Pelodiscus sinensis: one gene and its partner. The protein of the gene in region 2 interacts with the protein of the main gene of each other region in a biochemical or structural test. Links are inferred from orthologs where the notes say so. Each region holds a gene or a part of one and is shown on either strand. Other genes may lie near its edges.

Region 1 (3,743 bases), on a different chromosome or scaffold from region 2:
CCGGCCGCACCCAGACTGACCGAGACGGGGGCCCTTTGCGCCGGCCCCACCCAGACTGACCGAGATGGGCCCTGTCATCCCGGGCCCTGCATGGACCCCCACCAAGACAGGGGCCCTGTCATGCTGAGCACTGCAGATCCTGACAGAGATCGGGGGCTTCCTTGGTCCAGGCTTTGTACAAAACGCACAATAGGCGGGTTACCAGCTGAAAGGGAGCACACGATCTGTGGACGGGTTGGGGCTCGGAGTCAGCACCCCCCCCCCAGTGCTCTAACCACTGCCCCCACTGCCCTCCCAGCGCCAGGATGGACCCCAGGAGTCCTGGCTCCCACCCCCAGTGCTCTAACCACTGGCCCCCACTGCCCTCCCAGCACCAGGATGGACCCCAGGAGTCCTGGCTCCCAGCCCCAGTGCTCTAACCACTGGCCCCCACTGCCCTCCCAGCGCCGGGATGGACCCCAGGAGTCCTGGCTCCCAGCCCCAGTGCTCTAACCACTGGCCCCCACTGCCCTCCCAGCACCAGGATGGACCCCAGGAGTCCTGGTTCCCAGCCCCAGTGCTCTAACCACTGGCCCCCACTGCCCTCCCAGCACCAGGATGGACCCCAGGAGTCCTGGCTCCCAGCCCCAGTGCTCTAACCACTGGCCCCCACTGCCCTCCCAGCACCAGGATGGACCCCAGGAGTCCTGGTTCCCAGCCCCAGTGCTCTAACCACTGGCCCCCACTGCCCTCCCAGCGCCAGGATGGACCCCAGGAGTCCTGGCTCCCAGCCCCAGTGCTCTAACCACTGGCCCCCACTGCCCTCCCAGCGCCGGGATGGACCCCAGGAGTCCTGGCTCCCAGCCCCAGTGCTCTAACCACTGGCCCCCACTGCCCTCCCAGCGCCGGGATGGACCCCAGGAGTCCTGGTTCCCAGCCCCAGTGCTCTAACCACTAGCCCCCACTGCCCTCCCAGCGCCAGGATGGACCCCAGGAGTCCTGGTTCCCAGCCCCAGTGCTCTAACCACTAGCCCCCACTGCCCTCCCAGCGCCAGGATGGACCCCAGGAGTCCTGGCTCCCAGCCCCAGTGCTCTAACCACTGGCCCCCACTGCCCTCCCAGCACCGGGATGGACCCCAGGAGTCCTGGTTCCCAGCCCCAGTGCTCTAACCACTGGCCCCCACTGCCCTCCCAGCGCCAGGATGGACCCCAGGAGTCCTGGCTCCCAGCCCCAGTGCTCTAACCACTGGCCCCCACTGCCCTCCCAGCGCCGGGATGGACCCCAGGAGTCCTGGCTCCCACCCCCAGTGCTCTAACCACTGCCCCCACTGCCCTCCCAGCACCAGGATGGACCCCAGGAGTCCTGGCTCCCAGCCCCAGTGCTCTAACCACTGGCCCCCACTGCCCTCCCAGCGCCGGGATGGACCCCAGGAGTCCTGGCTCCCAGCCCCAGTGCTCTAACCACTGGCCCCCACTGCCCTCCCAGCACCAGGATGGACCCCAGGAGTCCTGGCTCCCAGCCCCCTTAGCGTGGGGGGGGGGGGGGATCTAGCCGGGTGAGGGGCAGGGGAATGGGGAAGAACTCAAGGGGCCATTTACCTGCCAGCAGGGTGGCTCCCAGCAGCACAGTCCAGACCTTCATGGCTGCAGCTTTGCCTGTGGGGAGAGAGGCCTGGGGTGAAGGAGGCTGGGGGGGGAAGAGAGAGGCTGGGGTGAAGGAGGCTGGGGGGGAGAGGGCTGGGGTGAAGGAGGCTGGGGGGGAGGCCTGGGGCGAAGGAGGCTGGGGGGGGAGAGGGCTGGGGTGAAGGAGGCTGGGGAGGAAGAGAGAGGTTGGGGTGAAGGAGGCTGGGGGGGAGGCCTGGGGCGAAGGAGGCTGGGGGGGAGAGGGCTGGGGTGAAGGAGGCTGGGGGGGAGAGGGCTGGGGTGAAGGAGGCTGGGGAGGAAGAGAGAGGTTGGGGTGAAGGAGGCTGGGGGGGGAGAGGGCTGGGGTGAAGGAGGCTGGGGGGGAGAGGGTTGGGGTGAAGGAGGCTGGGGAGGAAGAGAGAGGTTGGGGTGAAGGAGGCTGGGGGGGGAGAGGGCTGGGGTGAAGGAGGCTGGGGGGGGAGAGGGCTGGGGTGAAGGAGGCTGGGGAGGAAGAGAGAGGTTGGGGTGAAGGAGGCTGGGGGGGAGAGGGCTGGGGTGAAGGAGGCTGGGGGGGGAGAGGGCTGGGGTGAAGGAGGCTGGGGGGGAGAGGGCTGGGGTGAAGGAGGCTGGGGGGGGAGAGGGCTGGGGTGAAGGAGGCTGGGGAGGAAGAGAGAGGTTGGGGTGAAGGAGGCTGGGGGGGGGAAGAGGGTTGGGGTGAAGGAGGCTGGGGGGGGAGGCCTGGGGCGAAGGAGGCTGGGGGGGGAGAGGGCTGGGGCGAAGGAGGCTGGGGGGGGAGAGGGCTGGGGTGAAGGAGGCTGGGGAGGGTGAGGCCTGGCACAGAGAAACAAGCTGAGGTGCAGAGCCCATAGGAAGCTAAAGCAAGGAAAGCCCTTGCCCTTCTGGGCTGCTGCCCACCCCACCCACCTCTGGGCTGCCCCCCACCTGCCCCCAAACCAGCCTCCTGAAGGTTGCAACCTCTGCCTCTCCTCCTGCTGCCCCTCACCCGTCTCCTCCGGCCTGCACTACCCACCCTGTCTTTTCCCAGGCTGCCCTCAGCTCTCGATGCCTGGGCCCCACTTCCTGCCTTAAATACCCACAGCAGCAGCACGGGGGCGGGGTGGGGGCAGAGCCAGCACAAACTCGCCAAGGCAGCTGTAGGGGTGAAGGTTACTTCCCCCCCCCCCCCTCATGGAGCTGCACAGTCCCCCTTGGAGAGTGTTAACCCTCTGCTTGCCGGGGCAGGCGACAGACAAACAGACGTGCTCTCCCCTTGCCCCGTGCTGTCTGCCAGGCCTCCTGTCTCTGCCAGCAAGTAGCCCCCTCAGGGATGGAGGGGCAGGAGGCAAAGGGGAGTCGCTCCTGCCACACTCGGGGGGCAGACCCAAAGGGAGGAATCAGCCCCCAGCAGCATGTGTGTCCTGTTTGCCAAGGAAACCACAGAGAGGATCCAAGTTTAACAAGCTGGGGGGGGTGACCCTGGGGGGTGGACCTGACCCCTAGGTGTTAGGGGGGCCAAGACCTGGGGCTGAGGTTGGTTGTGTGGGGTGGTGCTGGGACCTGCTGTGGTGCCATGATGTGCCTTGTGCGGTGCTCACACCTCGTGCCTCATGTTTGTGGGGAACCCTGAGACCTCATGCTGGGTGGGGTGTGGATGAAAATTCACTACAGCCCCAGACTGTGATGTTTGGAGACCCGTGCGGCCCCCCCTTCCCCCGGCATGCATCTTGCTAGGGACCTCACTCCATGTGGGGGGCAGAGCTGTGGGAACGGATAGAGCGCTCTGCTTGCTCTGGTGCCTGCAGCTAAGCCCCACTGTAACCTGGTGGGGCCCGTGAGAGCCAGCTCCAGAGTGCACCCCGGACCCAGCGAGAGCCAGCTCCAGAGCGCTCCCCGGTCCCAGCGAGAGCCAGCTCCAGAGCGCACCCCGGTCCCAGCGAGAGTCAGCTCCAGAGCGCTCCCCGGTCCCAGCGAGAGCCAGCTCCAGAGCGCACCCCGGTCCCAGCGAGAGCCAGCTCCAGAGCGCACCCTGGTCCCAGCGAGAGCCAGCTCCAGAGCGCACCCTCCCGTCCCAGCGAGAGCCAGCTCCAGAGCGCACCCCGGTCCCAGCGAGAGCCAGCTCCAGAGCGCACCCCGGACCCAGC
Region 2 (3,743 bases):
TTCCTTTATTCCTCTGATGCTGCTGACTAAGGGTATGTCTACACAGCAAAGTTATTTCAAAATAACGGCCGTTATTTCGAAATAACTATCCTAGCATCTACAGAGCCATTCCGTTACTGCGAAATTAATTTGAAATAGCAGAGGGCTTATTTCAAAATTGTTAACCCTCATTCCACGAAGAATAGTGCCAATTTTGAAACTACTATTTCAAAAATAAGCGCTGTGTAGAGGCTTATTTCGAAAAAAAGGGGACCTCCAGCCCTTCCCAGGGTGCCCTGCTGGCCGCTCTGGCCACAAGGCAACTTCTGACCTGATGCCCTGCCAGAACTGGTTCCAACCAGCCTTAAATGCGATTCAACGACCACTCAGTGTGGACGCGCTATTTCAAAATAGAAAAACACTATTGCGACCTGCATTTTGTGTGTAGACGCGTTCTTTCGAAATAAGCTATTTCGAATGAACTATTTTGAAAGTAGATATTTCAAAATAATGCTGTAGTGTAGACATACCCTTTGACTGGGTGCCAAACATCTGGGCGGCAGCAACCACTACCTACTTGTGATCATTTAAATGTGGAAATAAACAGGAGCGAGATTTGTCTCATTAGCACACACTGCAAAATCTGTCACCCTCCCACAGAAAGGGAACAGCTTTCACACTGCTTTAAATAGGAATCTCGGGTGAAATGCATGAGATCGAGCCTTCTGCCGTCACACAATCTCTCTGGAGCTACGAGGGTGAGGCTGGATCCACTTGACACCTACCCTCAGCCGCAGGGGAAAGCTCCAAATCCGTTTTAGGAGTCCCGCCCTGCTCCAGAAGGCTGCAGCTACCTGGACACAGTGTCCTAGTGGAAATTAGCCGAGCGGGGATGAGACATCTCTGCGCACGTGGGCAATGCCCGCTCAGACAATAGTGGCTCCAGTCCCTCGTCCCCGTCTCCCGCACAGGGAGCTGCACTCGGAGCTCCAGAACCGCCCCCCCCCCCTCGCTTGAGGTGCTCTGTGGGGCTTGCTGGGGGTGGGGAGGCTCCTGCTGGTGGGGCGGCGCCACTCCTGAGCCTGCCCGCTACCAAGCGGGGGGGGGGGGGGGGGGCGGGCAGCTCCCGCCCGGGACTGCTCCTGGGGGCACCGGCACGTACGGACCCCGCCGCCCAGAGCGACCGGACAGAGCGCCGTGACCATAGAGACACAAACAGACCCGGTCACGGACACGGGACAGAGTAGCAGAGGCATACAGGCACCTATAGACCCTGTCTCATGGACAGGGCGGGGTGCTAGGACCATACAGGCACCTATAGAACCGGTCTCATAGACAGGGCTGGGTGCTAGGACAATACAGGCACCTATAGAACCGGTCTCATAGACAGGGCGGGGTGCTAGGACCATACAGGCACCTATAGAACCGGTCTCATAGACAGGGCGGGGTGCTAGGACCATACAGGCACCTATAGAACCGGTCTCATAGACAGGGCGGGGTGCTAAGACCATACAGGTACCTATAGAACCGGTCTCATAGACAGGGCAGGACGGGGTGCTAGGACCATACAGGCACCTATAGACCCGGTCTCATAGACAGGGCGGGGTGCTAGGACCATACAGGCACCTATAGAACCGGTCTCATAGACAGGGCGGGGTGCTAGGACCATACAGGCACCTATAGAACCGGTCTCATAGACAGGGCGGGGTGCTAAGACCATACAGGTACCTATAGAACCGGTCTCATAGACAGGGCGGGGTGCTAGGACCATACAGGCACCTATAGACCCGGTCTCATAGACAGGGCGGGGTGCTAGGACCATACAGGCACCTATAGACCCGGTCTCAGGCAGGGCAGGGCGGGGTGCCAGGACCATACAGGCACATCACGACCCTATAGGCACATACAGACCCACCCTCCTGTCCGTCGGCAGGCTGGATCTATATGTCCCTCCTCCCCCCCCCCCCCCCAAATCAGAAACCCTTCCACCAGGCGCGCCCCGGCTGCCGTGCTTCAGCCAGCTCCCTGGCACCTGCCCCGCTCCGCCCGTCGGGGAGGACCCTGGGCCGGTCCCCCCGCGGGGGGAAAGCCAGAGCCCGGCCACAGGCAGCGCAGCCCCGCCCAGGCTACTTACCGCCGGACGGGACTTCAGCCTGCAGCCGTGGGGAGCCTGCGAGCGCCGGGACGCGAGCGGTGGGTCGCACAGGCCCCGCGGGAGCTGCCCCCTTTCAGCGCATCCCCGGCAAAGCGGGCGGAGAGAAGCAGGGAGCGAGTCCGGCAGCTCACGCGCCCGGTCCCAGCTCCGCGGGCGGGGATCGGAGAGAAGGGGAGGAGAGAAGGGAGCGGGGAGCGATGGTGAGGCGCTTCTAGCGTGCGAAGCAGCCCCTCGCCCTCCTCCCCCGCCCTCTCGGCTGATTTGCCAGGGGGAAGAAAGAGACACCCCTCCACCCCCAGCCTTTGGGCTCCAGTGCCGCTCCCCCCCCCCCCACATCCAGCCTGACGTGGGGCGGGACAGCTCTCTGGCTACAGCACCCCCAGCATTGAGACTGCTAATGGGAGTGGAGTGGAGCTTGGGCCACAAGCTATTTTTAGCCCGAGTTTATCTACCCCAGTGAGTGCCTGGTCCATGTAGACATAATCACAGATCCTGGGGGGAATCGTATTTCACCGCTGGGGATTGCAGGGGCCTGGCATGGGGCAGGCCATCATTAGCTTCTCCAGTTCCCCTTTGACTCATTAACAACAATAAAGCTGGATATATAATAAAACCTAGGAGGTGGATACATTTTTATTCAAGTTCACACACATTAAGGCTAGGCAAGATACCCACCGGGTAAAATGGAAAGATAGATCCTCTTGATCTTCCTTTCTAAGGGTATGTCTACACTACCCCCCTAGTTCGAACTAGGAGGGTAATGTATGCATACCGCACTTGCAAATGAAGCCCAGGATTTGAATTTCCCGGGCTTCATTTGCATAAGCGGGGAGCCGCCATTTTAAAAACCCCGCTGGTTCGAACCCCGTGCAGCGCAGCTACACGGGGCTTGAACTAGGTAGTTCTGAATAGGAATCCTAGTCCGAACTACCTAGTTCGAGCCCCGTGTAGCCGCGCAGCACGGGGTTCGAACCAGCGGGGTTTTAAAAACGGTGGCTCCCCGCTTATGCAAATGAAGCCCGGGAAATTCAAAACCCGGACTTCATTTGCAAGTGCGGTATGCCTACATTACCCCGCTAGTTCGAACTAGCGGGGTAGTGTAGACATACCCTCAGCTCCCAAATTATCCCAGAAAAGAAAGAACAGCAGTAGTTTTTCCAAAGTGCCTAAGGTCAGAGCCAGATTATCCAGTAAACACAGTGCATATAGCCTACAAAAAATTTAGGGCCCCAAAAAAAATCATGATTGACTCAAAAATAAGAAAATAAAACAGCTCAATCACACTTAATAATTTGCTATTTTTATTAGAATACATGTGCAAATGTTGAAGATCAATTAAATGGAGGTGTTATTAAATCTTTAGTCAACAAACAACATGCAGGTATAACATACAATTAAATATTTATTTTGTGACTCTTTCTGTTAGCAAAATCACAGACTACATAATCAAATGTTATTTTTCTCAAAAGCTCACTCTCAATTGAAAGTAGTGCAAGGGAGATAGTTGTTTCTGACCCATAGTAGACTGAAGACAGTCCTTCATATAGTTTAACTTTGAAAAAGAGTACTCCCTTCACAGTTTGCTCCCAAGATGGCGAGATACATTCTG

What was found. The genes of interacting proteins can lie anywhere in the genome.
Region 1: the proteins of SNCA (region 2) and APOE form a complex in vitro, tested with the Homo sapiens proteins (2 studies listed by BioGRID and IntAct). The link is inferred for Pelodiscus sinensis from reciprocal best matches to the Homo sapiens genes SNCA and APOE.

Annotation. Positions count from the first base shown.
Region 1 is NW_027465876.1:424,442-428,184, forward strand, and holds the start of APOE (apolipoprotein E), read right to left. Parts: upstream 2,733-3,743; 5' UTR 2,633-2,732; exon of another isoform or gene 2,606-2,632; intron 1,636-2,605; 5' UTR 1,622-1,635; coding exon 1,579-1,621; intron 1-1,578. UniProt on the Homo sapiens protein: APOE is an apolipoprotein, a protein associating with lipid particles, that mainly functions in lipoprotein-mediated lipid transport between organs via the plasma and interstitial fluids.
Region 2 is NC_134715.1:16,040,806-16,044,548, forward strand, and holds the start of SNCA (alpha-synuclein), read right to left. Parts: upstream 2,380-3,743; 5' UTR 2,114-2,379; intron 1-2,113. UniProt on the Homo sapiens protein: Neuronal protein that plays several roles in synaptic activity such as regulation of synaptic vesicle trafficking and subsequent neurotransmitter release.